Rhinolophus ferrumequinum: one gene and its partners. The protein of the gene in region 1 interacts with the protein of each later gene in a pairwise test. Links are inferred from orthologs where the notes say so. Each region holds a gene or a part of one and is shown in the gene's direction. Other genes may lie near its edges.

The links. The genes of interacting proteins can lie anywhere in the genome.
Region 2: the proteins of REL (region 1) and C11H11orf68 interact in binary tests that used the Homo sapiens proteins (3 or more experiments, as listed by UniProt). The two-hybrid records come from large-scale screens. The link is inferred for Rhinolophus ferrumequinum from reciprocal best matches to the Homo sapiens genes REL and C11orf68.
Region 3: the proteins of REL (region 1) and SEC14-like protein 4 interact in binary tests that used the Homo sapiens proteins (3 or more experiments, as listed by UniProt). The two-hybrid records come from large-scale screens. The link is inferred for Rhinolophus ferrumequinum from reciprocal best matches to the Homo sapiens genes REL and SEC14L4.
Region 4: the proteins of REL (region 1) and EIF5A2 interact in binary tests that used the Homo sapiens proteins (3 or more experiments, as listed by UniProt). The two-hybrid records come from large-scale screens. The link is inferred for Rhinolophus ferrumequinum from reciprocal best matches to the Homo sapiens genes REL and EIF5A2.

Annotation. Positions count from the first base shown.
Region 1 is NC_046296.1:28,081,318-28,088,731, reverse strand, and holds the start of REL (proto-oncogene c-Rel), read left to right. Parts: upstream 1-4,414; 5' UTR 4,415-4,737; coding exon 4,738-4,747; intron 4,748-7,414. UniProt on the Homo sapiens protein: Proto-oncogene that may play a role in differentiation and lymphopoiesis.
Region 2 is NC_046294.1:5,915,874-5,923,216, forward strand, and holds C11H11orf68 (UPF0696 protein C11orf68 homolog), read left to right. Parts: upstream 1-4,613; 5' UTR 4,614-4,645; coding exon 4,646-4,758; intron 4,759-5,443; coding exon 5,444-6,203; 3' UTR 6,204-6,826; downstream 6,827-7,343. Other genes in the region: DRAP1 (dr1-associated corepressor), read right to left, coding at 2,237-2,342, 2,697-2,785, 2,999-3,092, 3,212-3,331, 3,629-3,722, 3,833-3,905, 4,144-4,185.
Region 3 is NC_046308.1:19,658,074-19,665,753, reverse strand, and holds the start of SEC14-like protein 4, read left to right. Parts: upstream 1-4,663; 5' UTR 4,664-4,724; coding exon 4,725-4,778; intron 4,779-7,422; coding exon 7,423-7,498; intron 7,499-7,680. UniProt on the Homo sapiens protein: Probable hydrophobic ligand-binding protein; may play a role in the transport of hydrophobic ligands like tocopherol, squalene and phospholipids.
Region 4 is NC_046285.1:71,554,447-71,562,305, forward strand, and holds the start of EIF5A2 (eukaryotic translation initiation factor 5A-2), read left to right. Parts: upstream 1-4,842; 5' UTR 4,843-4,988; intron 4,989-5,669; 5' UTR 5,670-5,704; coding exon 5,705-5,869; intron 5,870-6,419; coding exon 6,420-6,524; intron 6,525-7,859. UniProt on the Homo sapiens protein: Translation factor that promotes translation elongation and termination, particularly upon ribosome stalling at specific amino acid sequence contexts.

The DNA of each region.
Region 1 (7,414 bases):
CCTGTATTGGAAAACCCTCCCTACTCACCTGATCTGGCCCCCAATGACTTCTTTCTTTACCCAAAGATAAAGGAAATATTGAAAGGAAGACATTTTGATGATATTCAGGACATCAAGGGTAATGACGACAGCTCTGATGGCCATTCCAGAAAAAGAGTTCCAAGATTGCTTTTAAGGGTGCACTTAGGTGCTAGTGTGGGTGCAGAGCTTCCCAAGGGGAGTACTTCGAAGGTGACATAGTGATATTCAGCAATGAGGCATGTAGCACTTTTTCTAGGATGAGTTCGTGAACTTAATCACCCAACCTCATATGAAGTGAAGACGTGGAGTGCAGAAGATAAGGCTGAAGAAACAGGCAGAGGCCAGATTATGGAGGAACTTGTCAGCCACGTCCAAGAGTTTGGATCTAAGGCTAATGGATGGTTTTAAAGCACAAGAATGGTATAGTCATTCATACAGAGAACTCAATCAGCAAAGGGTTTAAATAGGTTTGAATGGCTTTCGAAGGGGACAAAAGTGTAGACAGGCATAATAAGAGACCATTCCCGTAGTTAAGGTGAAAGATGATGAAGATTTGAACAAGGACAGTGGCAATCAAGATGGAAAAGAAATGGATTCATATTTGATTATAAAATCAGTAGGACTTGGTGGCTGGATGTTGTGGGGTTGGTGGGAGTTGGTGAGAGAGAGAGTCAACGATGGCTCCCGATTTTCTAACCTGTATATCAGTGGATGGTGGCATAAGGAATATGGGAGTAAGAGTAAACTTGGAAAGAGATGTTGAGTAGGTTGAGTTTGGGATGCCTATGAGTCTCCCCTTGGAGGTGTTCAGCAGACAATTAGATATGTAGGTCTAAAGCCCAGGGAAAGATTCAGGCTGGATATATGGTCCTGGGACCATGGGTAAAATCATGAGAATGGATGAGATTATCCAACGAGTGTGTGTGGGTTGAGAGGTATTATGCATCTCTCCCTCATCCCATGTTTCCCCGAAAATAAGACCTAACCAGAAAATAAGCCCTAGCATGATTTTTCAGGATGACATCCGCTGAACATAAGCCCTAATGCATCTCTTGGAGCAAAAATTAATATAAGACTCGGTCTTATTTTCGGGGAAACACAGCATTCCCATTCAGACTTCAATTTTCCTAGTTCTTTGTCTTCTTTTTCATACTATTACGCATCGATAACCCTTGGGTTAAAAACCATATAAGAAATACTGTTTACTGGTCTGAATTACATTTATGACCACAAATTTCAAATGGACATTCAGTACAGCCAGATATACCTTATAAAATTCCACTCTCAAGACCACATTTTCAGCTTCTCCTCTTCCTCGAATCTCCTATTCCCTCGTTGCCTTTCACTCTCGGTTGAACTTGACCTCATACTTCACTATAAAAAAAAAAAAGGCAGTTTGACTACCTCATTTTCATACCATCAAGTACCATGTTCTCTGCATCTGCTCTGTCTTCCTTCTTGTTACCACAGAAGTGTCTCCATTCCAATCTACTGCCAACCCTATACCTGTGCTCTAGATTTCATCCTTTCTTCCTTACTCATCAACCCCTTCCTTTCTTTTATCATCCATTTCTCCTTCACTACTGAGTCAGTCTCACTGTTATACAAATATGCCTTAATATCACCCTCTACAAACAAAATAAACTTCAGTTCCAGAGCTTGCTAGTGCTGATAATCATTTTCTTCTCTTCTCCAGAGCACACAGCTAAATTACGTTTCTCAAATTATATTTCTCAGTCCCCTTGGGGAGGCCACATGGAAAGTAGACTGCAACCAGAAGTAACGTATTTCACTTTCAGGCCTGGCCCATAAAAATCTCTCATTCTCTCTTTCCTTTTCTAACGTGACTTTGAAGGCCACATTTTGGTGCTACAAGATTGAAGTCACCTCGGTCCCTGGGTTACTCCTGGAAGAGAAAGTCACTCAACTCACACTGGACTGTGACTCAAATGATAAACTTTAATTATGTTAACTGGTTGAGACTGTAGTTGTCAGTGATAGCCCTTAGCCTAAAATAACGCCACATCGCCTTCCAGCTAATGCCCCATTTCTATTTCCTTTAACACTCTTTGAAGAGTTGTCTATACTCATCGTTTCCATCATTCTCTTCTCAACTTCCTCCCATTCAGCCCTCATCCCCACCATTCCACTGACATGGCTCTTATCAAGGTCATTAACGACCTTCATCTTGCCAAAGCCAAGGTCATTTCTTTTTTTCCTTTTTTTAATTTTTATTGGGGAATATTGGGGAACTGTGTTTTTCTAGGACCCATCAGCTCCAAGTCATGCTGCTGTTTTCACTCTAGTTGTGGAGGGCACAGCTCACTGGCCCATGTGGGAACTGAACCAGTGACTTGAAGTTATGAGCACTGCGCTCTAACCCAGAGCCAACCTACCGCCCCAAGGTCATTTCTTTATTGTCATCTTTTTCATTCTCTCAGCATCATTTAACACAGCTGACTTCCATTCCTTTTGAACCTTCTGGGACACTAGTCTATTGGTTTTTCTACTTCACTGGCAGCTCTTTCTTTTCTACTAGTTCTCGACTTGGAGGGTCAAGGGCTCTTTTTAATTTTTTCTCTATCTGCACCATTTCTTTAGGTAGTACTATCGTAAATGAAATGCTACTGACTCCCCAATCTTTATTTCTAGCCCTGATTCCCCTTAGCTTGAGTTCTGCATATTCAACTGTCTACTTCAGGATGTCTAATAAGCATCTGTAATGTAAGGTATCCAAAACACAACTCCTGATTTTCCTTCTCAAATGTTTTTCTTCACCAGCCTTCCTTTTTACCTGGTTGCTCAGACCAAAAATGTGAGTTTCCCTGATTCCTTTTCTCCCCTCCCATCTACCAAGGCCATCTGGTTCTGTTACCAAAATATCTTACTAAATCTAACCTCGTTTCACCATCTCCTCCGCAAAAACACTAGTTGAAACCACTTTTACTTCTCAGACTACTGCAACAACCTCTTAACTGCTTTGCCTTCATTCACCCTTGCCCCTAGTTAGTGTATACTAACAGTTTAACACATCACTCAGAGTAAACATCTCAAAATGTAATGTCAATCACACACTTAAAACTCTTCATAGCTTTCTGTGTGCAACTGGAATAAAATCTATCCTCCTTACCAAGTGAGATTTCTTTTTTGTCTTTGCAATCTCTTCAGTGCATCACAGTATGGTTTAATGCTTATTCAATCCTTTCATTCTTTTCTACTTTTCTGCATTTTGTGGAAAGGATATTTTGGGGTTCGTAGGAAATTTTTGTGTTTTTTTCTTTCCTCTCCCCACTGTGTCCTCCAACTTCAGCACTTGTATAGCAGGCTCACGTTCCCCACTCTTCGTCATTTCATACTGCAAGGGGTAGTGGGAAGAGCGTGGAGCTTTGGAGTGAGACTCTGGGTTTAAACTGTGCTTTTCTTTTTACCAGTATTCTGAAGTATGAACTTAATTTCTCTGAAGTACTACTTCTCTGAACCACGATTACCTCATCTATAAAATGAGGGTACTATGTCATAAATGAGGTAAATCAACTGATACATACAAGGTTCTTAGCACATAAAGGAAACACAGTAATACTCGATTCCTTTAACATACTAAACAGTTCGTTCCTTCCCCCGCCTCATGGGTATTTCTATCAAATCCCACGATAGAGTCGACCCCACTAATCTTGAGCAGTGCATTAAATGAGACAACGAACTCGCAGTGCGGACCTTAGGAGTTTAAAAAGTTAGTAGGTAAAATCCGTAAAGTTAACTGAGTCCTCGCAATTTAGATGTAAAGAGGGAAAATCAGACTGCGGGGGTCCCCGTATGCAAATGCATGCATTACACACGAATACTGGCGACAGCCACTTCCGCACTTCCCCTCTAGGGCACTCCGCGACAGTAGCGCTGCATCGCCCGCCTGTGCGGAGGCGGAGATTTGCATGTGCGAAATAGGGAAGAGGGGGAACCACCCATCGAAAATCCCGGGCCTTAGTACCGCCCCGCCCCCCTGCTCCAGCCAGGGAGGGCTGGCCCCACTTCGCCGGCCGGCCCGCCCCAAGTACTCCCCGGCAGCCGGCCCTCTCGACGTCACCGCACCCTCCTACCCGCTTCTGAACTTTAAACCACGCGCCGAAGAACAGCCCGGAGGAGGGGGATTTCTAAGGAGCTGGCGGCTTTCGCACGCTCGGGGCCGTCACTTCTCGGCTCCCCGTGTTCCCTGCATACCCGAAGATCCCGCGCCCCAGCTCCCCCGACGGGGTCCCGAGCCCACTGCTGCACCCGGGGTGGTAGCGGGGGCGGGGTACGGGCGGGGCGGAGCGCGGGCCGTCGTGTGCGGTTGCGCGCTAGCCGCCCCGCCCCTCCGCCCTCCCGCCCCCAGAGAGGGCGGCGGTGAGGAGCCTACGTCAGCTGCGGGAAATCCCCCTCCCGCTAAGGCGCGGGTCTCTCTGGCCCTGAGGTGCTGGGCTCTCGCTGCGCTCCGCCCCCCTACCCTTGGCTCCAGCACCCTGGACGGGCGAGGCCGGGGACAGCAGGGGCGCGAGAATTAAGGGGGTGGGAAGGTGTGAGCCGCAAACCAAAGCAGGGCGGAAAGGAGGAGGAGGCCCCGACGGTGGTCAGTGGGACAGGGGGTCCCGCCGGCAGAGGACTGACTGGCGGGCTGACTGACAGCGGCGGCCTCCGGTCCAGAGGCTCGGAGTGGAGCGGAGCGGCGCGGTGAACGGAGTCATGGCTTCGGGTGAGTGTCCTGGGCGCCACCGGCGGTGCCCGAGCTGGGGGGAACCTGGGGCTCGTCCCGGGGCTTTGCCGCTCAGTTTTGATTGTGGCGCGTTCTCTCTAAAATTGCCCGGTCTGGCAAATTGTCAACCTTGTAACAAGTAAGGTGGTTCGGGGGTTTGCCTGCGAAATCAAAGTCACGCTCTGTAATTTGATGCCATTATAGTAGCCGGAACCTTAGAAATTCCCAACGACTCTGTTTTAGGACTAGGGAAGTAATGAGAATCTAAATGGAGGACTAGGAGTTCGCGTATTTAAAAATTGGTTTACATCGAAATGGTGGTTTTATGTTTTACAACAGGAATGAGGAACCTTCAGACCTCTGAAAAGCTCTGAGTTTTTTAGTTTAATTTCATCAAGTACCAAGAGGTGATCGCTGTTGTGCTGACAGTTGTACAAAACGTGTGGCTTTAAAAGTCACCGGTGGTGTTTTAACAGGTCTTAAGTGGAAATGTTGCTTCAACACGGTGGATAGATTTTACTGCACAGTGCGCACGTTCTAACTTACGGAGCAGAAGTCATGTTGCTTTGGTTTTGTTTTTTTCCTCCTTTGTTGGAAAGAAGGGGGAAAGAGGAATTTTAGAATACTTGTGCTTCAAAATATGGGTAGGGAGTAAAAGAATTTCCTATCACTTGTGTAAATGTTTATTTTCAGTTAATAAATGCGTGAATCTCTTGCTTTGAGGGGAAACGAATTTACCAAGAAAGAGTTCAGAGGAAAGGGGGTGAGTCTCATACCGGTCCGGAATATACAACTATGGTTTAGGTCAGCCTGTGACCGAAGGGAAGTAAGTGAAGAATCCTTTACAGGATTCTGGCCGGGTTCCGAGGGCGCTTTCCCGGCAGAGGGAGCAGCGTGAGCGGTCACGGAGGCTTACAAGTTACTCCTGAACGCTGTACTGACAAGTTGAAGAGGGGGGGCCTTGTTTATGCTTGACCCGCATCCTCCCAACTCCCTGGTACAGTGACCCTCAGCAGAAGGTTGATGTCTAGCAGAGAAGAGGAAGTAGAAAGCTTAGAGGACTTTTTAAAGGGGTTGAACAGAAAAATGTCATAGCTACTGCTGTAGGCTAAAAAGGAAATTGGGGTAGTTCACACGACATTTGATTTCAGTTTGTCTGTGGTTTTCATGTGAGCATACAAGTGGAGTTTAAAATATTTCAACTTTCTCTTAACCCACTTCAGTGACCCCCAAACTTTCAGATAATTCAAAGGCCGTTTAGATTAAAACTGCAAAGATGACTTAAAATATTTGATTAATTTATTGGTTATCAGAAAGAAATTTTGTATAAAAATAGTAAAGAATAGCGAGTATTATAAATAAAAGAAAAAGGTCAGCCTGCTGGCAATTTAAGCGAACTTTGTTAATACATGGCATGAATGTAATACTCCCAATTCTTTCAAAAGAGAGAAAAGAAGTAACCATGTTTACATAGGTATTGTAAGACCTACATCATTTAAAACTGTGATACAATTGAAAATTATTTAATGACACTATATTTTTGTGATGTTATGAGGACCCTCAATTGAACGGGGGGGGGGGAATAAGGAATGGAAAGTTGTAATCATAACATGTTATTTAAATTATAATTCAATTGTTTGAAAACTGCTAAGCAAATTTTTAAAAAGAAGTCGGGGTGTACTTTCCTTAATTAATTTTAAAGACCTTAGAGGAAGAGTGACTAAATTATCAATTCCTATCCTGTTTTGAAACAGTAATTTAACCAAAAGAATCACAGGGGAAAAAAGTGCTAAATTAGTTTATCATTATCTAGTTTAGATTCTGTTTGTAGTAAGGTAGTATTAAAACTCAAAAAGTATTTTTATTGATTACAAAGATTTTAAGACCATTTCTACATTTCTCCCCGGATGTCATATGTAAATATGTGTGTGTAGTTGAATATATGATCTGCATAACGTAAAAAGTAACATCATAATCTCATAAGCAAATTTATAAGAACCATGAGTAACTGGTACTTTGATACATATTTCTAAATTTTGTTCAGGTAAGCTGTCAGATTATTCAGGATTTCCCAGTTTAGGTTCTATTAAGCTGTCTTTATTGCTTTTTTAAAATTACACCTTGGTTTCAGTCTTTTGACATGATGAATTAAAATAGGCATTGTGAAGAAAAATGTACCCAGACCCATCTAGGGTATGCATAGCATAGTTAGGCAATCATTACTCTTGTACATTTTAAGTAAAATTAGCTCTTTTATATCAGAATTTAAAGCTTCTCATTGTTCCAGTAGAAAGTGTAAAATGTTCTTGTGTGCCCCTGGCTCTATTTACTAATAAATAGTACTGTCTTTGGTAAAATACGTTTTAACATTTAGATAATTTTTATTCCTAGTTTTCTTTAGTATAGTTCTGCTTTGTCACGGAGTAGGAAGTACACTAAGAAATTGTTTTTGTAAACCGCACACTACTTACCAACTCTTTGTCTGCTGTATGAATTTCAAGAGAACTGTTTCCCTTGAGTAAGGGGGGAAAATATGAATGTAAGTATGTTGCAACTTCAATCTTTAATGATAGAGCTGGAAGCTGGAATTGATAACTAAAGCAAATGACTTCTTTTTTTTTTAATGTAGAAGACTACACATGTAAACATAAAGGCTGTTTTGGAAAT
Region 2 (7,343 bases), on another chromosome or scaffold:
ATTCCTCACAGCCGCTTGGTGTCCTCAGCTCCGTGGGCCCAGGTGCCCACCTTTCCCTGGGACTGAGCCCAACCATTCCCGCTCCCGGGCCGGTGGGAACCACCTCCCATTCATGGTCCCTGCCAGCCAGAGCTCTTTCAGTTCCAAGGGACACAACCCAGGTGACTTCAAGAGGGGAAATGTTTATTGGCTCACGTAACTAAGAAGCCTAAGGCATGAAGGCTTCAGGCAAGACTGGGTTCAGGTGTTCAGATGTCATCAGACGACTGTGCCTCTGCGCCAACTGGTTCTACTGTGCTGGCTTTGTTCTCAGTCAGAATTGCCCCTCAGGGTTGGAAGCAGCTTCCAGCAGCACCCGGCTGACATTCCGCCAGCTTTGCTACACTAGCATGGCCGCCATCACCCTCACCTGGACTCCTCAGAGGGTTCCCTGCTGCTCTCCCAGCCACGGGGAAGCCAGCGATCATGTCAAAACCCCTTCCCACTGGTCCCATCTAAAGTCCCAGTGGTCATGACCGGCCTGTACCACTCACTGGGGCCAGAGCGAGTGTGGTGGGTGATGTGATTGGCCAGGCTGGTGATGTTCCCATCCCTCCACCCCAGGAAGTGGGGTCTGCTGCACACACTGCAGGTGGAGTACAGAAAAGGTGATTCCCCAAAAGAAGGCAGAGGTACTATATCCAGAGGGGGAGCACACGAGAGGCAGACAGGACCCACATGCCCCAGCTCCAGCTGCCCTGGGCCCTTCCACACCTGCCAGCAGCCTCCTAATTCACAGAAGTCAGATATCTTGGGTGAAAATTGAATTCTGCAGTCCTCCCACCTAAACCTCCTCACCGCCCTCTCCCTCACCAGGTTGGGTTTGCCTTGGGCACCCCCCACCTCACTCCATTCTCTCCCCTCCTATCCCACATCCCCTCCCTCACTACAAGCTTGCATCTGCCCTCTTAAAACACAAAAACAGAAACTCCCTGCTCCTCACTGAGCTACTGCTCCCTCTCCACTTCACAGCTCTGAGCGGTGTTGCTTCAGCTCACCTCAGTTTCTCACCTCCAGCTCTCCCTGCCTCATCAACAACCAGCAAGCCTCTGAGGCAGCTGTGCGGAAGGCTTCCCTAAAGCCTGCAATGTGTCCTGGTGTGTGACAACTGGCCTGTCCCTTCTCCCAGAGCCCCCTGGGTGGGCACATCCAGTGGCTCCTGGGGGTTCTGGGTCTGGCTGCTCTTCAGTCTCCTCTGATGGGCTGCCCCTCTCTCCCGAGGTGAAGTCACCTACTCTCAAAGTTCACACATCTGTCTCTAGGCCCGTGTCCAAGTGTCCACTCCACACCTCTCCTCAGCGTCCTCACAGGCACCCCAAATTCATCACAGTCAAACTTGTCATCTTCAGGCCTACTCCCGCTCTACCTCATGTCCCCCAGCTGGAAAAGGCCCCTGCCCGAGCTGCTGCAGAAAGAAACCTGAGAGCCCTTGAGGGTTCCCTCCCTCTCTGCCCTGTCCAGTCAACCATCAGCACTCAAGTTGACCCACTGCTTTCCATGCCTCCTGCCCAGCCTCAAGCCACTGCTCCCTGAAGCACACGTCTGCCTCCGTGGACACTGCAGCTTCAGGGTCCGCTCAGAAATGGCCATGGACTGACGAACTGTGTCACTGCCCCGATCACAAGCTGGCCTTCGAGACTCTCCACAACCATCCCACCTACCTCTGCTCCTGCTGCCCCTTCCTCTACCCTTCATGGCACCAGGCTCAGAGCTCTCCAGTTCCTATTACTCGTCCTGTCTGTCCCTTAGTTGCAGCCCCCAGTGGACAAAAAGGTCTCCGTCAGAGGACAAGAGGCTGTTCAGAGAACAGTAGGAACCTGTCCAGGGTCACACAGCACAATGAGATAGGTTGTCCCCCAGCACAGCGGCACCTGCTGGCTCAGGTCCTACACCACTCTGTCCACCTTCCTTCTCTCAGCACCCCTGGTCCTGCGCTGGCACACCCGTGGCCTCCAGCCCCTCCTTTCACTCAGCAGCTGCCCGGCCCACCCCTGCTCCTGCCCCAGCTCAGTGTGAGGAATTCAGGTGGAATGGTGGGAAGGCCGCCACAAAGCCCTAGACAGAGGCTGGGACAGACACTGATGTTCCCTTTTGTTATTATTTTTTTAATAAATTTAAGAACAGCTCTACCTTCTCTCCTCCCCCCAGAACAACTAAAACCAACTAAAAGGGGGTGTGGCCTGGGGGGCAGAGGGCGCTAGGAGTCATAATCTTCTTCATCCTCTGCGTCAGGTGCGGAGGGAACCGGAGGTGCTGGGGGCAGAGGCAGAGTCGAGGTGAAGGGCATGAAAGGTGTTGGGGGGCTGCAGGGCAGAAAGCAGGAGGGGCAATCAGGTCACTCTCCGGGCCCATTCCGACCCCCTGAGCCCCACTCCGCCCTCCACACAGACAGCATGGAGCCCCCCACCCTCTGTACCAAATGGGAGCCAAGCCCAGAGAAGGGAAGGGCCCGAGCAGGTCACAAAGGCCCTGCCCAGGCCCCATCCACTGTGGGGAAGGGACTTTCTGAGAGTACAGTCTCCTGTCTTTAAGCCCTCCTCAGTTCTTCCCTTCCCATCCCCCAAATCTGCCACAAACAACAGAAGCAAGTGACCAGGAAGGACAAGTCAGCCTTGGGGAGTCTGCTGGCCCCCTCCTGGAGCCACTGAGCTGCTTACCTCTGAAAGTGGGAAGGGGGGTGGCTGGCCTGGGGTGGAGCCTGCGCTGTCTCCTCTTCCCCATCAGTGTCACTGTCTTCAGACTCATCCTGGGAGCAAGGCAGGGGTCAGGGGTGACAAGAAAGGCATGGGACCATCACTGAAACCCCAGACCTCTCGGAGTGGCAGGGACAGGATGCTGACCTCCATCACCCCAATTTGAAAACAAAGAAATCAGGGTACAGTGAAGTCACAGGTGAGGGTGGGCCCAGGCCTCCAGCCGGCTCGAAGAGGCAGGACAGAGGGCTGGGGGCTTCACTCACCTCCTGCTCAGAGTCCGTCCCTGACAGCTTCTTGTCCTTGCCTTTGTTTCCCATCCCACCATTCTTCCGGCTGCTGCTGCCTGGCTTCCGGCCCCTTTGGGAAGGTATAATCCATCTGCTCAGAGGTGTCCCTGCTCCTTCGCCACCCCCCAACCCCCTCCATCCCTGGTGGCCTTGGCCTTCCAGCCTGGACACTCGGCCCTAACTCCCCACCTGCGGGCACCCTTGTCCCCGTCCATGTGGTTGTCTTCCCCATCCCCCTGCATGTCAGGCACAGATGCCACCAGGTCCTTTAAGAAGTCAAACTGCTGCTCCAGCTCGATGCACTGCTTCCTGAAAGAGGTGAGGCGGGGATGGCATCTGGCAGGGCCCCAGATGTCTGCTCTCTCAGCAAGGGTCAGCAAGAAGCTCTGGATATTAGGAGAATGGAGTCTGGAAAACCTCTACCACCCGACTTCCTCCCTTTGCTGGAACACCCAGCCTTTCCTCTCCAAGTTCGAACCACCAGTCTCTAAGGCCTTGCTGGTCTCCCAGTAGCCTCCCACCTCCCCATCAGGACATAGGCTCTCTTAAGTGTGTGAACGCCTGGGACAGGGCCCCACTGGGCTCTTCCAGCTCGCAGCCACTCACAGGTGGGATGTGGTCATGGTCTTGGCGTTTCGGGACTGGGTCACCTGGCAGGCCTTCTTCAACAGCGACTCCAGGAAGAGCTCAAGCGCCCGGGCTCAGAGTCGTCAAGGAGAACGCGGGAGTGGGGTCCCAGCCCTCACAAGGCGACCCCCGGCTGCCTCCTTCCCCCACGTCCCTCAACCCGGCCAGCCCCCGACAGGATACAGATGATGACAGGCACAGCCGCCGCCACCTTCCCAATCTCTTCGTCCGTCTGCATGATCTTCTTGATCCGCGCCTGGGGAGGAGGCAGAGAGGTCGGACCCCGTCGCCTCAGTCCCAGAATGGGGTACTGGGGAGAGCGAGAGGGGTATCCCGGGAGAAAGGGGGCGGGGGGCAACAACGCAAGGAGGGCACAGAAGGGGGCGGGGCGTCCGGGTCCCGGGGCACGGCGATGCGCCCGCCCCCCAGGCAGGCCTGGGCCCGAGCCTCCCGGGAGCTGGGCCCTCTCCTGCCGGGCCCAGCCACATGCTCACCGGCGGGAACCGCGCGTTGTACTTCTTTTTCTTGCTCGGCATCTCCGGGACTCTCTCGCCGCGCCGGGCCCAGCGCCGCCGCCTGCAGCCTCCCGGCCCCGGGGCCTGCTCGCCACCCGCCCGTCGAGGTTCCCCCGGGTCCTGGTGCCGCCCGCTCCGCCCCCGCCGCTCCCCACGGGGTCCTAGCGCCGCCGGTAGGCAGCCTCTCGCAGGGTCCGAGTGCCCGCCCCTCGGAACCTCCTGGGCTGTGCGCGTCGGTCCGGGACCCGACCGCCACTCCCGCCCGCCCCCAGGCCAGAAGAGCGAACGTTAGCCCCGCCCCGCCGCAGGCCCGCCCCTCCTGGGTTTCTTGATGGCCTCGCCCCTGGGGTCAGCCCCGCCCAAGTCCCGCCCCCTCAGTGGCCGGCCCCGCCCCGCGGCGCGGCTGCTCTGGCTCGGGGGCCCCGCCCCGTGCCGCGCTTGTCTATCTATAAAGTTGTTGTTGAGGCGGCGGGGCGCTAAGATGGCGGCGGCGGCGGCAGCCGTGGCGGGGGCGGGGCGCGGCGGCGCGGAGCCCCGGCAGGAGCGGAGCCAGGCGCGGGGCTGGGTCGGTGCCGAACGCAGCGAAGGCCGAAGGTGACGGCGGGGCGGCGGGAGGGGGCAGAGTCGGGCGGGAGCCAAGCTCTTGCGATGGGCGCTAATGGCGGCGGGCGCGGCGGGGCCAGAGGCTGGCCCTCCCGCTGGTTCTAACAAGCCGGGGTTCGAGTCCGGGCACCGCCCCATTGGCCTCGGACCCGTCACTGCCTTCTCTGGTCCTCAGTGTCCTTATTTTTTAAGTGGGCCAGATAACGCCCGCCTGGGAGGACTTGCCCTGCAGGGCCTGCCTCGGTGCTGAGCGAACGGGGGCTCCTGCGCTTCCCTGCATTAAATGCCAGCGCCCAGGATACCTGCCAGTCACTGGCAGGGCCAGGAGGTGTAGCTGGGTCAGTTGCACCCACACTTGAATTTACAATTAGGCCCTGTCGCTCACTATAGGTGTGACCTTGGGTGAGTCCCTTCTCTCTGAGCTTGTTTCTTGTCTGTAAGTCAGGAAGAGTAGAAATAACATGAGCAATAACACTCAGTCGTGCTTATTCCACCTCAGGCATTTAATTGTCAACAGCGCATTGAGCCAGGAACAGTTGTTATCATTGTTAAGATGAGGCAACTGAGGCACGAGGACTTTAAATCCTGACCAAGGCCACACAGTTTAGTCTAATGCTTGGCACCCGCTAGGGCCCAGCAAGCTGCAAATCTGTCACGAACTTTGTTTCCCTCACAGCAGGATGGAGTCAGGTGAGGAGCTGGAGGAGGAGGACTCTCCAGGTGGCCGTGAGGATGGCTTCACTGCTGAGCATCTGGCTGCAGAGGCCATGGCAGCTGACATGGACCCCTGGTTGGTGTTTGACGCCCGCACCACACCTGCCTCTGAGCTAGATGCCTGGTTGGCCAAGTACCCGCCATCCCAAGTTACTCGCTACGGGGACCCTAGCTCACCCAACTCTGAGCCCGTGGGCTGGATTGCAGCGTATGGGCAGGGCTACATCCCCAACTCGGGTGATGTGCAGGGCCTGCAGGCAGCCTGGGAAGCCCTGCAGACCAGCGGGCGGCCCGTCACGCCAGGTACCCTGCGCCAGCTGGCCATCACCCACCACGTGCTCTCGGGAAAGTGGCTGATGCACCTGGCACCTGGCTTCAAGCTGGACCATGCCTGGGCTGGCATTGCTCGGGCTGTGGTCGAGGGCCGGCTTCAGGTGGCCAAGGTGAGCCCACGGGCCAGGGAGGGTGGGCGCCAGGTCATCTGTGTTTATACAGACGACTTCACGGACCGCTTGGGTGTGCTGGAGGCAGATGCAGCCATCCGTGCAGCAGGCATTAAGTGCCTGCTCACCTACAAGCCTGATGTCTACACCTACCTGGGCATCTACCGGGCCAACCGCTGGCATCTCTGCCCCACTCTCTATGAGAGCCGTTTCCAGCTGGGGGGCAATGCTCGTGGCTCCCGTGTGCTGGACCGTGCCAACAATGTGGAACTGACCTAGTGGGGCCAAGTTGGGGAGACCACCCTCTGTACCCCCTGCTAGGGATGGATCCTCCCGTCTTTCTCCTCCTCCTCGTCCCAAGGAGGCCATGTCCCACAGCTCTAAGACTAGGTCACTCGGGAACTGCTTGCATCTTCGATCCCCTTGAACTTTTGCCCTCTGTTCAGGGCTGAGTCAAGTCCCCACCTGCTGGAGGTTCTGGCTCTCTTAGGACCGGACCCTCAGCCTCTCTCTTCGATGCTGCTCTGCTCTGCCATCCAGGACCATAGGCTGGGTACAGACACCCAGGAGAGAGCCTGCCTTGGCCACCCTTATCCCTGGCTGTACCTCCCCCTCCTCCTGCATTCTCCTCTTCCTCACAAAAGAGAAAACTTAGTGCTTCCAGTCCCTCTCCTTGGAGCCTTCACAGCCCGGGGGGCAGAGGCCCTGCAGGCCTGAGCATGCCTTTTTTTTGGGGGGAGGGTAGGGGGGGCCACTCAGCCCCTGGCAGAAAGAGGGGATGCCAGGGCCATGAACATGGTGTCTGCTCCTCCCTGCCACCTCACAGCCTGCACTACCTTCCCTTCACTATCTTGCCATGTGCCTGCTCCTGGCATTTCAATAAAACCCAGCTTGGGTCTGTGTGTTGAGTGTTTTTTAAAATACCATGTTGTTGGTTACCTGCTTTGGTTGCTGGAGAGAGGCAGGGCCAGGAGAGACTGCCTCTCCGCCCTGACTGGGCCCTCCTAACTGCCCCCAGTAATAAGATACACCTTACTGCCAAGGCTGGGAATCTCTCTTGAGAGCCTCTGCAAAGCCAGCACTGCTTCGCCTTCATCCCAAGAATCAGAATCATCTTCTCAGTGATTTCCCATAAATCCAGGGGTTTGGCCCAGCAAAGTCCAAGGGGCCACTACTAACCCACAGGGTGTATTTGTGCTTATAAGAGAAAGGTATCCTCTTGGTCCTGGCAGTTCCTATGTCAAAGCACATGCATGGTCTGGTGAGTGAGCAGATGGGCTGGATTTCAGCAACGTAGGGTGGACATCCTTGTGCAGCAAACAATCTGCACAACCATAAGTAACCGTGGAATCCCAGCTGGCTATACTCACCTCTCCACCATCCTGGCCATCACAGGGCCCACTGGACAGTTTGCAAAGC
Region 3 (7,680 bases), on another chromosome or scaffold:
AGATGGTAAAGATGCACTAACTAGGCAGTGCAGAAGGAGAAGGTGAGGGAATGGTGTTTAAGTCACAGGGAATAGCATGTGCAAAGGCCCTGTGGTAGGAGGGAGCAACAAGGGGAGATAGATCTCTCCACAAACCCCCCACCTGATGTTCTGTGGCACGGGAAGGTCAGGGACCTCCTGGCTTTCATAGAGGAAGAAAGAGAAATTCAGCTGTGGCCCCAGACCTCAAACCCCCCTTTTCCCGTGGTCCTAGCTAGGTCTGTGGGGTCATGGGTCAGTCTCCCCTTGTCCACTCCTCTCTCCCAGGCCCTTGTGACCATCTCTCTTCCTAGAGAGCAGAATATAGGGGGGATGTGGCCACACCAGGTCCTTCCTTTCCCTGGGGTCACCCTGAGTTAATGGAGGGAGCCAAGGAAACCCTCCAAAAGCTGCCCTGGAGCCTAATCTCTACCACCTAGGCAGGCCTAAGCATGAGGCCACCCTGCCCTTGGCATCTGTGTCAAGCAGACACTTCCTCCCAACCTCTCCAAATCCTATGTATTTGGAGGAGCATCCAGTGGCATCTGTCCATCCTAGACGTCTGCGGGATGGGACTGATTTAGCCATAATGTACGGACAGTGTGGGCAGGGGCTCCTGCAAAGCTTAACTGCACCCCAATAATGGAGATGCCATTCACCCCACAGAGTTTCCTTTAGCTGGCAGCTTATAGGCTTGAATTAGGACTGCAAGCCGGACACCTCTGGCCATGGAGCGATGCCAGGAGTTTTGGGGGCACCTGAAAGATGGGAGGGAGAGACACTGCAGTGAGTGGGCAAGAGGTGTGAACTTAGTGTTATGTACCATGGCAACACATCACTGCAGTCCAGCTTCTCAGCTCACACGCCAGGGGGCACCAAAAGAATGCGCCACTTTTTGGATTGCAGGAGGAGCCAGGCACACCATGGAAGAGAGGAGTCGTCTGCCAAACCCCTGGCACCCAGGTGGTTAGAACGAAAGTCCCCCACACACAGCAATAACTGAAGTGTGAGCAAGCGGCAGTGTACTGCAGGCTCAGGGGAGGACATCTGCTCTGTGTTGGACCAACAGGGACCTCAGGAACCACGTGACCTGGAACACGGAGCTGGGCAGGCAGAAAGACATGACATAGTGAGCAGCTGGCCGTGCACCACCCTGCCTGGATTCCAGTCCTGGCTTTGTGCTTGCTGACTGTGAGACCTCAGGAGGCTCCTTAACTTCAGATTCCTGGTCCAAAAACAGGGATAATAATTGTGCCTCCCTCAGAATGTGTCCAAAACATTAAATGAGCTAACACTGCACTGACTGATATGGCAAACATTGACCACCTGTATTAGTTTGCTAGGACTGCTTAATAAGATACCCCAGACTGAGTGGCTCCAACTACAGAATGTTATTCCCTCATTGTTCGGGAGGCTAACAGTCCAAGACCAAGGTGTCAGCAGGCATTGCCCTTTCTAAGGGCGATGAGGAAAAATTTGTTCCGCGCCTCCCCCCTAGGTTCTGATGATTTGCTGGCAATCTTTGGTGTTCCTGGGCTTGTAGAAGCATCACCTCAAACTCTGCCTTCATCTTCACATAACATTCTCCCTGTGCGTGTGTGTTTCCAAATTTCCCCCTTTAATAAGGACACCAGTCATATTGGATTAGAGGCCCAGCTTATTCCACTTTGACCTTATCTTAACTAATTACTTCTGCAAAGACCCTGTTTCCAAGTAAGGCCACATTCTTAAGTGCTGGGGTTTAGGACTTCAACATCTGAATGTGGGGCAGGGACACAATTCAACCCATAACACCACATGTGGCTATTTGAGCATTTGAAATGTGGCTAGTTGGAATTGAAATGTGCTAGTATGCTACACGCACACTGGATTTCAAAGAGCTGATACAAAAATAAAAAGAATGCAAGATATCTCACTATGAATTCTTAATTTATCTCATTTATTGGTCACATTGATCACATTTTGAAATGATATTTTGGGTACATTATATTAAATAAAACATATTATTCAAATTAAAAATTTTTATGTGTCTGCTGGAGAATTTCAAGTTACCTGTGTGGCTCCCACTACCTAGCTGTTGGACAGCACTGAGCTAATATTTACAAAATCCTTAGACCAGGGCCTGGCCCATAGAAAATACCTTTAAGTGCTGGTTAAATAAAGTTACCTTGTGACGTGTGGCATTTTAAAAATATCACTTTTCCTACTCCACTGGAGAAAGTTGGGGACAAACTTCTTTTCTCGTGTGGCCCTTCTTTTATTGACTGGATTTTGTTTTACATTTCAGAAGCATACGGCATATGTAATGTTGTCCTATCTTTTCCAAATTGTTCCCTTCGATTTTTTTCCATGTGTTTTATAAACTCTTTATCAACCACATTAAGCATCGTGGTTTCCTGAAAAAATATTTCCAATTTTCCTGTTAATAATGCACAAACAACATTAAGCTGAAAATATTTTCTGTTAGTTAGGATGATTGGGCAAAGTGGTAAACTACTGAAGGATCCTAATGCATATTGTCAAATAGTTTTCTAGAAAAACTGAACCAATTTCTAGTCCTGCCAGCAATGTATGAATGTCTCCATTTCACCAACTTCTGGCTAACTAACTCTATTGTTTTTTTAAAGGCTTTGTGTATGTTTGTTTTGTTGCTATAATAATTTGGTGGAGGAAAAAAGTATCTTATTATTTATATACACATTTCTTTGATGATCTGGAAGTTGAGCATTTATCCGCTTCATTGCATTCCTCTTCTGGTAATTGGTGTTTTGAGTCTTTTGTCCATTTCTTAGTGTCTTACTATTTTTCTTATCAATTTGCACACGTTCTTTAAAAGATATCCGGTTTTGTATATTTTATTTTTCCCAACTTCACGTCAGCAATGACTGACTTAATGCCTTACAACTGATTGTCCCTTTGTGATTTCTGTCATTGCTTTTAGGTACAGATCATGCCCTTCCAGAGATGTGGTGTCACTTTTACTTTCTTTTAGCTTTTTGTATTTTCTCTCTCTCTCTCTCTCTCTCTCTCTCTCTCTCTCTCTCTCTCTCTCTCTCTCTCTCGCTCAGATTTAAAGTCTAGGACAGCACTGTCCAAATGAAATATAATGCAAGCTGCAAATTTGAGTCACACCCATAATTTAAACTTTCCTGGTATCTACATTTTTAAAAATTAAAAGATTAGAGCACAGAAAATTTTTAGGGTAGTGGCACTATTCTGTATGATACATCAAGATACCACAATGGTGAACACATGTCATTATGCAGTTGTACAAACCCATAGAATGTACAACACCAGGACTGAACCTACCGTAAACTATGGGCTTTGGGTGACAATGACGTAGTTCTTGAGTTCTAACAAATGTAGCCCTCTGCTGTGTGTGGTCCACAGTGGGGCAGGCTGTGTGTGGGGGTGGGGGGTATATGAGAGCTCTCTATGCTTTCTGCTCAATTTTGCTGTGAATCTAAAACTGCCCCAAAAATAAAGTTTATTAATTTGAGAAATTCTAATTTATAAAAAAGTAAAAGAAACAGGTGAAATTCATTTTAACAATATATCTTATTGACCCAATATACCCCGAAACATTATCATTTCAACATGTCATTAATATAAGATATGAATGAATGGAATCTATTTAATTTTTGGGGTATTAGGCCTTTGAAATTTGGTGCGGATTTTACACTCACAGCACTTCTCCATTTTCCCTAGTGACAAGCCAATTCCCAAAGCTCAATAGCAACATGTGGCTTGTGGCCACCAGGCTGGTCAGCGCTGGCTTAGAACTTCGTTTGAGCCCAAGGGAGGGCAGAGGGGAAAGGTTCTGGTGGCCTGATTTACCTCCCTGTTTACCTTTACCTCCCATTTGCTCCTCTCTCTGGAAAATTCCTGCCCTACCAATTTGAGTTTTCTCACCTTCCCCAGTGACCTTTGCCTGACTCTTGGATGCCATCCTGGACACCTGTGTCAGCCACCCAACACCCTTTGGCCTCCCAACCCCTCCATCACTCCACCCAGGGCTTCCCCACTGCCACCTCCCTCTCCCTGGCCTTTGGGCTGTGGCTCCTGCCCAGTAGCTCACAAGGGAGCCATTCCTGGGTCTCTACCCCTGTGGCTTGCTGCTCCAGTGACAGCCTCAAAAGCAATGATTATGAAACAATATTCCTACCAGCCAACACTTGCCGGGTATGCAATGCCAGGCAGAACCATGGCAGATTATCTTATCTAATCCTCCAGACCATCTTGAAGCCTGGAATCCTCTTGCACATAAGGGCTCTCCTATCAGTTAGTGAACACTAACAGGGTGCAGCCTGTGTTCAAAGTCAGGGGAGGAAGGTTGGGGGCCCCTTGGGAATAAAGTCCTGAGGACCACCTAGAAGGTGGAACCAAGTTTATAAAAAGTTCCTCCATTTTGCTGGAAGGGGATCTTGGTGTTCCCTGAAACTTGCCCTGGGATGCGGGGTGGGGGCGCCTGCTTCCCCCAACTGAAATCTGTGCTCTGGGAGGGAAAGTGGCACCTCCTTGCCCCAGGTAGGGTGCGTCTTGGCGACTGGCCTTGGCAAAAACCCCAGAGGGGAGGAGAGCCCGGCGGGACAGGGCGGGGTGAAGCTAGCCCTCTCCCATCGGGGCGGGACAAACATTTGACGTACCCGGCAAAACCAGGAGCCCATGAGCACCACGAGTGGCAAAGCCAGGCACCCACGGGCACCATGAGCGGCAGAGTCGGGGACCTGAGCTCCCAGCAGCAGGAGGCGCTGGCCAGGGTGAGGGGCTTCGTGGTGGGGAGGCTTGGGGAGGGGCCGAGCAGCCAGACGCTGCCCACCTGGGCTGGAGCCTCTATCTGACGACTGAGGAGGGACCCTGGAGACTGCCTGTGTGCAGTTGCTGTGGCAGCTGTGTATAGAAACCCGGCAGGAGTCCTTCTCTGGGCAAATCCAGCTTTTCACTCCTGCCCGCTCCAGGCCCTTGTTCTCTGGTTGTGGGGAGAGGTGGGTGGGTGACCTGGCGCTGCCATCCATCCGGCTTCTGAGAAGCTTTGGGCAGACAGACTCCCAGATCTCCTGCCGAGATTGCAACACATTTGTTTGGTTTCTCTTTGGGCCTGTTGTCAATGTTTTCGTTAAAGGGAGATGGAGAAGTTTTTGGTGATTTCAAGACAGTACTGAAGGCCACACCTAGAAGTGTCAGGGCCATGGGGAAGGGCGAGCGTAGCCAAGTCTTAGGTGCCATAGCGTTAATTCGGTTTGCAGATGGCCAGGACAGTAAATTGGGACTTCAGGGTGGGGGATGGGGGTGGGTCACAGCCCTGCCTCACACTTTGGACCTGTGAAAGGGCAGCTTCAGACTTCTGGACAATGAGTTCTTTTTAGGCTCCTAACCTGGGGAAAACCTAAGGGTGCTCCAGGGAGGAATGAGAACCCCTGGTGAAGAGGGGTGGGGGGACCTGAGTGAATTCCTGGTGAACGAGAGAAGGGTCTCAGATGAATGATGGGGTCCCTGGTGAATTCCCAGGTAAAAGAGAAGGTTCCAGAAGCAGAGGGTCCCCCGATGAGGAGGCGTCCTCAGGTGAAGGACAGAAGGTCCCCTGGTGAACCCTCCCCTCCCCACTGGCAGTGGCCTCAGAGATGCCCCAGATACTAGGCTCCTAGGAGGGACTGGACACCTGGCCTTTGGGGGTGAATTATGATGGAGGTGCCTGTGGGCCAAAGAGCTTTAAACAATGTAAAAAGAGTTTATTCTTCTTTTTACCATTATTTAAAAGAAATGAATGCTATTTTTAAAATTAGGGAAAAAGAGAAAAGTAGGAAGGGGGAAAGGCCACTGACAGTCCCAGAGGTCTAGTCCTGGGAGCATTTCCTTCCCGCTTTTTCCTAAGTCTTGACCTCCTGTGGTCACACTGCCAGATGCTCCTTTCTCCACATGGCCTCATCCTAAGATGAGTTTTTCCTCCACGTTGCTCCAGGCCCTTCCCAGCACCTGCTTAGTGGCTTTCTCTTAGCTGATTGACATGTGCTCCAAGGGTGGAGTGGCCTCGAGATTGGAAGACGTGGACTCCTCCTGGCCTTGGAACTTCCTCACTCTGTTCCTGGGGAAGACCCCCCACCCCTTCGACCCCTCCTCCCCAGCCTCAATTCCTTCATCTGCAAAGCAGGGATATGACCTCTGCCCCTCCTGCTTCAGGTTCAAAGGAGGGAATCTGGTCCTCTGGAGGGGCTGAGTGGTGCAGTTATTGTTTCTCAGGTAGTGTCCGTCCCCTCCCCCTTGCCCCCCCAGAAAAAACTCTTCCTCAGGAGCACAGAGGTTACAGCTGGTCAATGTGAAAGAAGCTCCATTCCAGGTGTCTGTCCCAACTGGGGATTGTTACAGCAGTTGTCGTTGCTCGTGTTGTTAACACGGCAGATGTTTAAGTTGATTATTTATTTTTAATTGTGTGAGCAATACGTGAATACATTCTTATTTTAAACATCATTATGGTGCTAAAGCTTGTTTGATGGGTGGCTATCAAGACAGCTCCCATGGCTCCGCTGGCACCTGTTTCTAATTCCAAATTCTCAGTCACAGATTTCCCCAGCACACCCAGTCCCCCAGGCCTCACCGTTCGTTCCCTTCATCCTTACGGGAGTGGGGTCTCCTCTCTATGTCAAACCTGAGCCTCGGTTCCAAACCCAAATTCCTAGCGGCTTCCCCAAACTCTGCCAGTAGCAAAAGTTACCCCCAGCAGATCAGCCGCCCTCCTTCCCCCAGCTCCAACAGGGCCCCGATGAGGCAGCCCTGACCTCTCTTTCAGTCCCTACCTGCTGACCTTTGCTTTTGTTTCCACAAAGATTCCACTGTCCAGGACTCTGGGCAGTCCACTTTTGCTGAGTGCCCACATTTATGTGGCACCTGCTGCAAGCCAGGCCTGACGCTAAGTGCTTTACCTGCCCAAGTTCTTTTGATTGGCACAAGTTTATCATTATTCCCACTTCGCAGATGAGGAAACTGAGGTTCAGAGAGGTTAAGTAACTTGCTTCCAAATCCAGGCCCTCAAGATGCAGTATCAGGGGCAATATTCCCCAAATGCTCTGGTTGGCCTGCATGAAATTCGCCAGAGATCTGGGCAAAAATAGGGATGGCAGGGCCCCACCTCAGACCTATAGAATGATGGTCTTGGGGGGGCAGAGATCCTCCAAAGTTTGAGAAGGACTCAACTCTTCCTACCATGGTGGGCTGGGGGGGGAGGGGGTGGCCCATTCCCAGGTGGCAAAATGGCCCAGGCGGCTGCTGCTAACTGTGCCGTCCTCACCTGCAGGGTCCCTGGGCAGGGCTGACTGGCTGACTGAGGGTGGGACGAGCCGGGGATGGAATTGGAGGCCGGGGGATCGTGGGAGCCCTCTGACAATCATCTTCCCCACCCCCACCCCCCAGTTCCGGGGTAACCTCCAGGACCTGCTGCCGACCATGCCCAAAGCTGATGACTACTTCCTCCTGCGCTGGCTGCGAGGTAAGGCTGGCAGGTTCAGAGGTTTCTCAAGAGAAGGTGTGGAAGATTTGGGGAGACAGTGCCACAGAACGGTAAAGAACGCAAGCTCTGGAATGAGCCCATTTTGTGTTAGAATCTAAACTCCCCTTCAAATCGGCGTGGCACAAAATCTCCGCTGAGCCTCAATTTCTTAATCCACCTAA
Region 4 (7,859 bases), on another chromosome or scaffold:
TAGGTCTTTCACCTTGATTACATTTATTCCTACGTATTTTATTCTTTTTGATGCAATTGTAAATAAGACTGTTTTCTTAGTTTTTCTTTCTGATTCATCATTGTTAATGTATAGAAACAAAACTGTTTTTGTATATTGATATATCTTGCAACTTCACTAAATTCATTGATGAAGTCTAACAGATTTTTTGGTGGAGTCTTTAGGGTTTCTATATGTAATGTAATGCCATCTGCAAATAGAGACGATTTTACTTCTTCTTTTCCAATTTGGGTGCTGTTATTTCTTTTTCTTGCCTAATTTCTCTGGTTAGTACCTCCAAGACTATATTGAATAAAAGCAGTCAGAGTAGGCATCCTTATCTTATTACTGATCTTAAAGGAAAAACTTGCAGCTTTCCACTATTGAGTATGAAGTTAACTGTGGGCTTGTCATATAGGGCCTTTATTATATTGAGGCCCTCTATACACAGTTTGTTGAGAGGGTTTTTTTTTTTTTATCATGGATGTATGTTGAACTTTGTCAAATGCTTTTTCTGCATCTATTGAGATGATCATATAATTTTTATCATTCATTGTTAAAGTGGTGTATCACAGTAATTGATTTGCAGATATTGAACCATCCTTGCATTTCCTGGAATAAATTCCACTCCATGACAGTATACGATCCTTTTCATGTACTATTGAATTGGTTTGCTAATATTTTGTTGAAAATTTTTGCATCTATGTTCATCAGAGATACTGACCTGTAATTTTCTTTTTTTTTTGTAGTGTCCTTGTTTGATATATAGCATCAGGGTAATGCTATCCTCATAATATAAGTTTAGAAATGATCTTTCCTCTTCAATTTTGGGGGAAAGTTTGAGAAGAACTGGTATTAATTATTTAAATGTTTGGTACAATTCACTAGTGAAGCCAAATTTTCTTTGTTGGGAGGTTTTGAGTACTGATTCAGTCAGCTTAGTAGTAATAGGTCTGTTTAGATTTTTCTATTCATGATTCAGTCTTGGTAAGTTGTATATTTCTATCAATTTATCCATTTCTTCAGGTTGTCCAGTTGGTTGGCATATAATTGTTCATGGAGTCTCTTCTGATCCTTTGCATTTTTGTGGTATCATTTAGGTCTATCAATATTTGCTTTATATATTTAGGTGCTCCTATATTAGGTACATAAATATTTATAATGTTATATCCATTTGTTGGATTGACCCCTATATCATTATATGACTTTCTTTGTCTTTTATTACAGTCTTTGTATAAAAGTATATTTTGGCTGATAATGTATAGCTATCCTAGCTTTCTTTTGGTTTCCATTTGCATGGATTGTCTTTTTTCATCCTGTTACTTTCAGTCTGTGTGTGTCCTTAAAGCTGAAGAGAGTCTCTTGCTTTTGCTTTAACCATCGTCTATATACTGGTGATTCACAAATATCTTTCTCTATTTAAGATATCTCTCTCCCACAAGAATCTTAAACTCGATTTGGCCAAAAGTGAACTCAACTTGCCATGGAAACTTGCTTTTTCTCTTATATTTTCTATCTCAATGAATGGTACCACCATTCCCCCAGTCGTTAATTTGATGCTTTCCTATTCTTCTCACCCAGTGTCTCCCTTCTCATTTCGACTTCCAACATTACTTAGGACATTCTTTCCACCTTCCCTTGTAATTCTCTTGAATCTGTCTTCTCTATGTTCTCACAGTCACCACCTTTGTTCACCAACATTAACTATTTCTTCCTAATTGGTTTCCTATTTCCAATATTCTCTCCCCCTAAAAAATTCTCCATATCATGATCAGAATGGTCTTTCTAAATTAAAAAAATACATCCTTGTCATTTTCTTCTATATACGGTTTATATATCTTTCTATTGCCCTTGAGAGAAAATCCAGATTCACCCATCTCTTTTTACTACTTTATCAGTCACATTAAACCAGTGGAGGTCCAGAATGATGTCACAATTCTGTCACTTATAGGTTTTTTGTACCCCTAATCCCTCTACCTAAAATGCCTTTTCCAAACCTCTGTTCATTGCTTACTACTCCTTATTTTTCAGATGTCAAATTAAGATATCACTCCCAGAGAGGCAGTCTCAAGATCTTCTAGACCTGTGATGCCCTATATGATAGCCACCAGTCACACAGTCACTGAACCCTTAAAATGTGGCTAGTCTGAATTGAGATGTACTCTACACCAGGCTTTGAAGACTTAGTATAAAATAATCTTATTAATAATTTTTATACTGGTACATGCGAAATATTATTTTAGATGTACTCAGTTAAATTTCAAACTATATTATTGAAATTAATTTCATCTCTTTTTACATTTTAATGTGGCTACAAGAAAACTCAATTTATATGTGGCTTGCATCATACTTCAATTGAACAAAACCTAGACTAGATGAGAAGGAGCCCCCTTTTTCAACATCCTACAGTTACTTCTTTAGTAGCATGTATTATAGCTGCTAAAATGCTAGCTTGTATCCTGCACTAGACTTCAAGTACATAAAAAACAAGAGGATGTCGTGGTCAACATGATAATTTCAGCACTAAGGGTGCTACAATAAAAACAGTCAATTCTCCTTATTTGTGGATCCCATATTTATGAATTTCCCTACTTGATAAATTTACGTATAACCCCAAAATCAATACATGAGATGCTTTCACAATCATTTGTGGACATGCACAGAACAGTGGAAGATTTGAGTCATTCAACACATATTTTCCTGACTAAGGTCAAACAAGGCCATGCTCTGCCTTCTATTTTCAACTGTCAAATGGTAAACGAGTTTTTTTTTCAGTCTACCTGTGCCACTTTTTCACATTTTTTTGACTTTTGTTGGTGACTTGACTGTTTAAAATGACCCTGAGCATAGTGCTGAAGTGCTGTCTAGTGTTTTTAAGAATGAGAAGGCTGTGATGTGCCTTACAGAGAAAATACATGTGTTAGATAAGCCTCCTTTGGACATGAATTGTAGAGCTGTTGGCTGTGAGTTAAATGTTAATGAATCAATATAGATTAAATAAACACATATAATACAAGATAATATATTGGTCAGTTGATGAAAATGTTGTGACCAGAAGCTTACAGGAACCTAACTTTGCATTTCTCCTAGAAGTAACGATTTTGTGTTCCGGTGACTTCACTAGCCTCAGCTGTATTTATTTAATGAATGAAGCTGGATCATTTTGATTCCAAATCCAAATCTTATGTGAATTCACTATGATGCATATGATGGTAGTTAAAGCAGTGATTATGGAGCCAAACTGGCTAGAGTTCAATGTTGGCCTTCTGACTTGCTAGCTGTGTGATTTGGAGCAAATTACTTAACTTTTCTCTGCCCTTTTCCATAACTGAAAATGTAAATAAAATAGTTGTTAATGATTGCCATGGGCTGCACGTGAGGGAGGGGACTGACCAGAAGAGGGCAGGAGAAAACTTTTAGAATGAGGAAATATTCTATATCTTGATTATAGTGGTATTTACACAAATGTTTATGTTCTTCAATATTCATATAACTAAAACCGGTAACTTTTACTTTGCATAAATAACTTAATAAACTTGAGGTTGAAAGAGAGTAACAGCCAAGAGTAAATAATGCACGTAAAACAATTAACTACCCGCTTACATAAATACTCTTTAAATATTAGCAAACACTCTTAATAACAACAGACAGGAAAGGTTAGGTAATGTAAGGAAAAGCAGAGTGGGCTCACGAACTGGATTCTAATCCGGCTATTTCTATTAGCTAGAGGCTGAGTTGTTTATGGGAGTTCCCCTGTTTATTGCAAAGGTTAAGTTACACAGCATGTGTGAAATATCTGTGTAACTGTAGAGCCACATAGGAATGTGAAAAATAGGACTGTTCATGAGACAGCAATACGAAATCACAGGGCCACATAAACTGGGGTGTGGAAGTCACCTCTCCAAGGTAGGAAAATGTGGTGGGTTGTGAAATGAAACCATGAAAAAGGGCTCACATCTTTTTTTAAAAAACTTTGGTCCTTAATCCTATACAAGTCTCTACTGGCTACAGATAACCCAACCATTCTAAGGAGGATGGACATATCTGTAACTCGATAGAATGCCAACGCCAGGAGGAAAGAGCTGAGTTTGGCAGAACACCTTCCTGAATTGGACAATGTGGTACCAGTTAGACATCCACTTGCCTCCACAACTCCCTAACAGCTTCCGGAGGGAGAAGTGAGTTAGGTCATTTCACCACTGCTTTTTAGTTCAGTTCAAGAATGTCTCACGAGTTCCCACCCATGGGAGTGGGCAGGGCACCCAGGGGCAGTCGCTGCCATGAGTCATAATGGGTGGCTGGGGTTCTCTGCAGAGCATGCAGTGTGCATCTGGAAAATAAAATACCGCACTTGGACTCTTCCTGGAGGAACAAGCTGGGTTTGACTACCAAAGAGGGCTGCAAGATGGACCAGAAGTTGGAACCCAAAGTTTCCTCCACAGCCACACTGGCATCCATTGAGATCTCTTGCCTCTCGAGTTTTGACAACCTACAAGTAACAACTGGCACGCACCTGAGGGCAGGGGCCACCATGCGCGCGGCCCAATTCCCATAAACTTCCACTGAAACTTGAACACAACGAACCTAAAAGTTTGCAGCAGGAAGTTTCTTTGCAAGCGAGTTTACCCTCAGCAACCCGCCTCCAGAAAATGCACTTCACGCGCCGGAAGTGCACTAATCCGCAGCACGTGGGGTAGCCAGGACGCTCTTCACGTGACTAGGCGGGGCCTCAGGAAGCTTGTAGCCAATGGTAGCCTGGAAGGGTGGTGCCTGTGACGCGCCGGACCTATCCCGGAAATGGGACTGAGGTGGGGGCGGGAAAGGGCGGGGAGGCCGGGGTGTGGAAAGTGTGGCGGCCCCGCCCTGTCTCTTGGAACTACCGCGGCCGCCACCGCTGCCGCTGCCGCCGCCGCCGCTGTAGGGGACCGGCGCGGGTGCGCAGGCGAAAGCAGCTCTTTCTTTGCTGAAAGGTAAAGACATGGGGGAAAAGTGGTGGGGTTGGGACCGGAGCGAGGCAGGGCCGGGAAAGGCGACGGGAGTCCCAACGAGGGAAAGAGGAAGGCTGGATGGGAGAACGGAGGCGAGCGCGGCACTCGCCAGGGCTCAGGCCCGTGCGGGGCCGAGCCGGGCCGAGGATGCCTGCAGGACAAGGGGGCGCCTGAGAGGCCGGGGATAGCACGCCGCAGCCGGGGACCGGAGTGCGCGCCAGATGCGCGAGGGCCAGGTGCTGCTGGCCTGGTCATGTTATCCCCATCCTTCGCGCGGACGTGCGGCCTGGGCTGGGTCCCCCGCAGTGGGGATCAGGGCGGCGGCGGAGGGCCGGGCGGTGCGGCGCTGTGCGGAAAGGTCGCCGGCTCCGCCTGCGGTGGGACGATGGGGGCCGGGATTTGCTGCTCCCAGCCTGGTGAGCCCCCTGGGCGGGTATCCTCCACCCCCCAGCTCGCTCTCTGCGACTTCCTTCCCCACCTTCCCATCAATGGATGGAAAAGTTTGTAGAGGCCAAGAGTTAGAAAGCGCCCACTGTTCTTGGGTGGGTCTTCTATAGATGCAAAAATAATAGATCCACGATGCTTGGCACGTAACCTGTCCGAAATGAGATTTTTCGTTACCTGATTGCCCATTGTTAAAAAGCAAACAAACTTTTTGCGTAGTTCCCTCCGAAAAGCTACCATCTCCCCAGCCCACCATGGCGGATGAAATTGATTTCACTACTGGAGATGCTGGGGCTTCCAGCACTTACCCTATGCAGTGCTCGGCCCTGCGCAAAAACGGCTTCGTGGTGCTCAAAGGACGACCATGCAAAATAGTGGAGATGTCAACTTCCAAAACTGGAAAACACGGTCATGCCAAGGTAAGTGCCCTTCCAGGTCTGTCTTTACGTTGAGATTTTGATCATTTGTATTACATTACAGAACATGAGATTTCTGTACTTAGAACTTTGTAATAAGCACTTTTTTTTTCTTCCCACTATTACTGGGTGTTCAACTATCGTTTTGAATACTGAAAGGTAGCATTTCCTTCTTGAGCTCTTATAATGTTTCATTAATTGGGAACTGAAACTTTCCTGAATCCCAGTGAGTCAGAAGATCTGTTCAGTTTACAGATGAGAAACCCTGTTCTAACATAATTCCAAGGAACCTAAGTTCATTTTTCTTGTGCACTCTTATAATTGAATTACTGCACTATATAGGATTTGAGTCTTGATATGTCATGATACCATTTAGTTGTTCACTGCTTCTCAATTTTATGACCGCGACATTTTTTTAAGAAAGTAAAATTAGATGACCTTGAAAGGAGAAATAATCTGCTATAATCAGCGTTGGTATTGTGCTCCTGTGTATGTAATGAGTGATATACTTGGCAAAGATTAAACAGGTTTCCTGTTCTCCCTTCTTTGTTAGGTTCACCTTGTTGGAATTGATATTTTCACCGGCAAAAAATATGAAGATATTTGTCCTTCTACTCACAACATGGATGTTCCAAATATTAAGCGAAATGATTATCAAGTAAGTACTAATTTCCTTTAGAATGCTTGTTTCTTAAAGGTGTGAATACATTCTACTATCAATTGTAATTTAACAAAAGGCCGTAGTAGTTTTGTAGGCTTTTCTAACGAATTATCAGTAACCACTTAGAAATTGGAGGAATAGTTATATTTAACTCTTGTACCTTATTTAGGATTATTCTAGTTTGCTATTTTTTAAAACATTCTTGCATTTTAAAAAAGTTGAACACTTCTTATTGTTTCACAAACCAAGTAACTGTATGTTGTGACTGAACAAGTTTAGCGCTAATAAGATTACTACCGTCTTTGTTGTAAAATATTTCAATTTTAGATAACTCCTTCTCAGATGTTTTATGTCTTTTCATTTGTCAGACCTAAGATTTTCAAGAAATTAAGAAATTATTGGAATTCATGTTCCACCAACCAAGTTTGTGTACTAATGAATATGAGTCAGATTTTGGTATTCTTAAATAGGGAAATAAGTTAAAAGCCTTAAATATAAAGGATAAAATACATGGTCACTGAATATGGTGAAGAAAATACAAAAACTGTGTAATTGTTTTATTTATATTCAGTGACCATGCTGTGACCTTTTGTTAAATTATAGGTATAAACTTCAAGTTTTAGTTCCAATTATACATTTGGGTAGGTCATGTTTAATGATAGCATTTTGTTGTTTGGAGTATTGATAGTAACCAAACCATTGACCTCATAGGATGTGGGAGCTCAGATTAATCATAATTAAAGTCTTCTTTTGAAAGTCTTCAATTTCTATATCTAGCATACCATGTATGGTATTCCTTTCTGTTCTTTTTACATAGTGAAAAATGTGAGTGTGACAGATTTGTTTTATCCAGTTAAATTGATTTCCTTTTATACCTTTTATTGTACTGTATAATTTTTAAAGAATGTTACCGTCAACTGTAATTACCCAATGATTTCCTTTTACTCTTTGTCCACTTGTAAACATATTTTTACATGGTTTTAATCTAATAAGCAGTTTTATATTTTCACTTTCCCATTTATCATAAATATTTTCTAGGTTGCATCGGAGTCTTTGTAGAAATTTGAATTTTCTTAGTATAATAATAGTGTTTTTTTAGTCAAACAGGTCTGGGTTTGGATCCAGTTCTACTATTTTCTAGCTGAATGTTCTTAGATAAATTACACAACCTCTCTGAGCCTCACTCTTTCCATCTCCAAAAGAGAGATAATGTGAGGAGTAAATGAGAAAATGTACCCCACAATCACCTCCTGAGTAGATGTGTATCAAAAAGCAGTTATTTTCTGCGCCCCCTTTCCTGTATAAAAATTCCACTTAATCATTCCATTATTC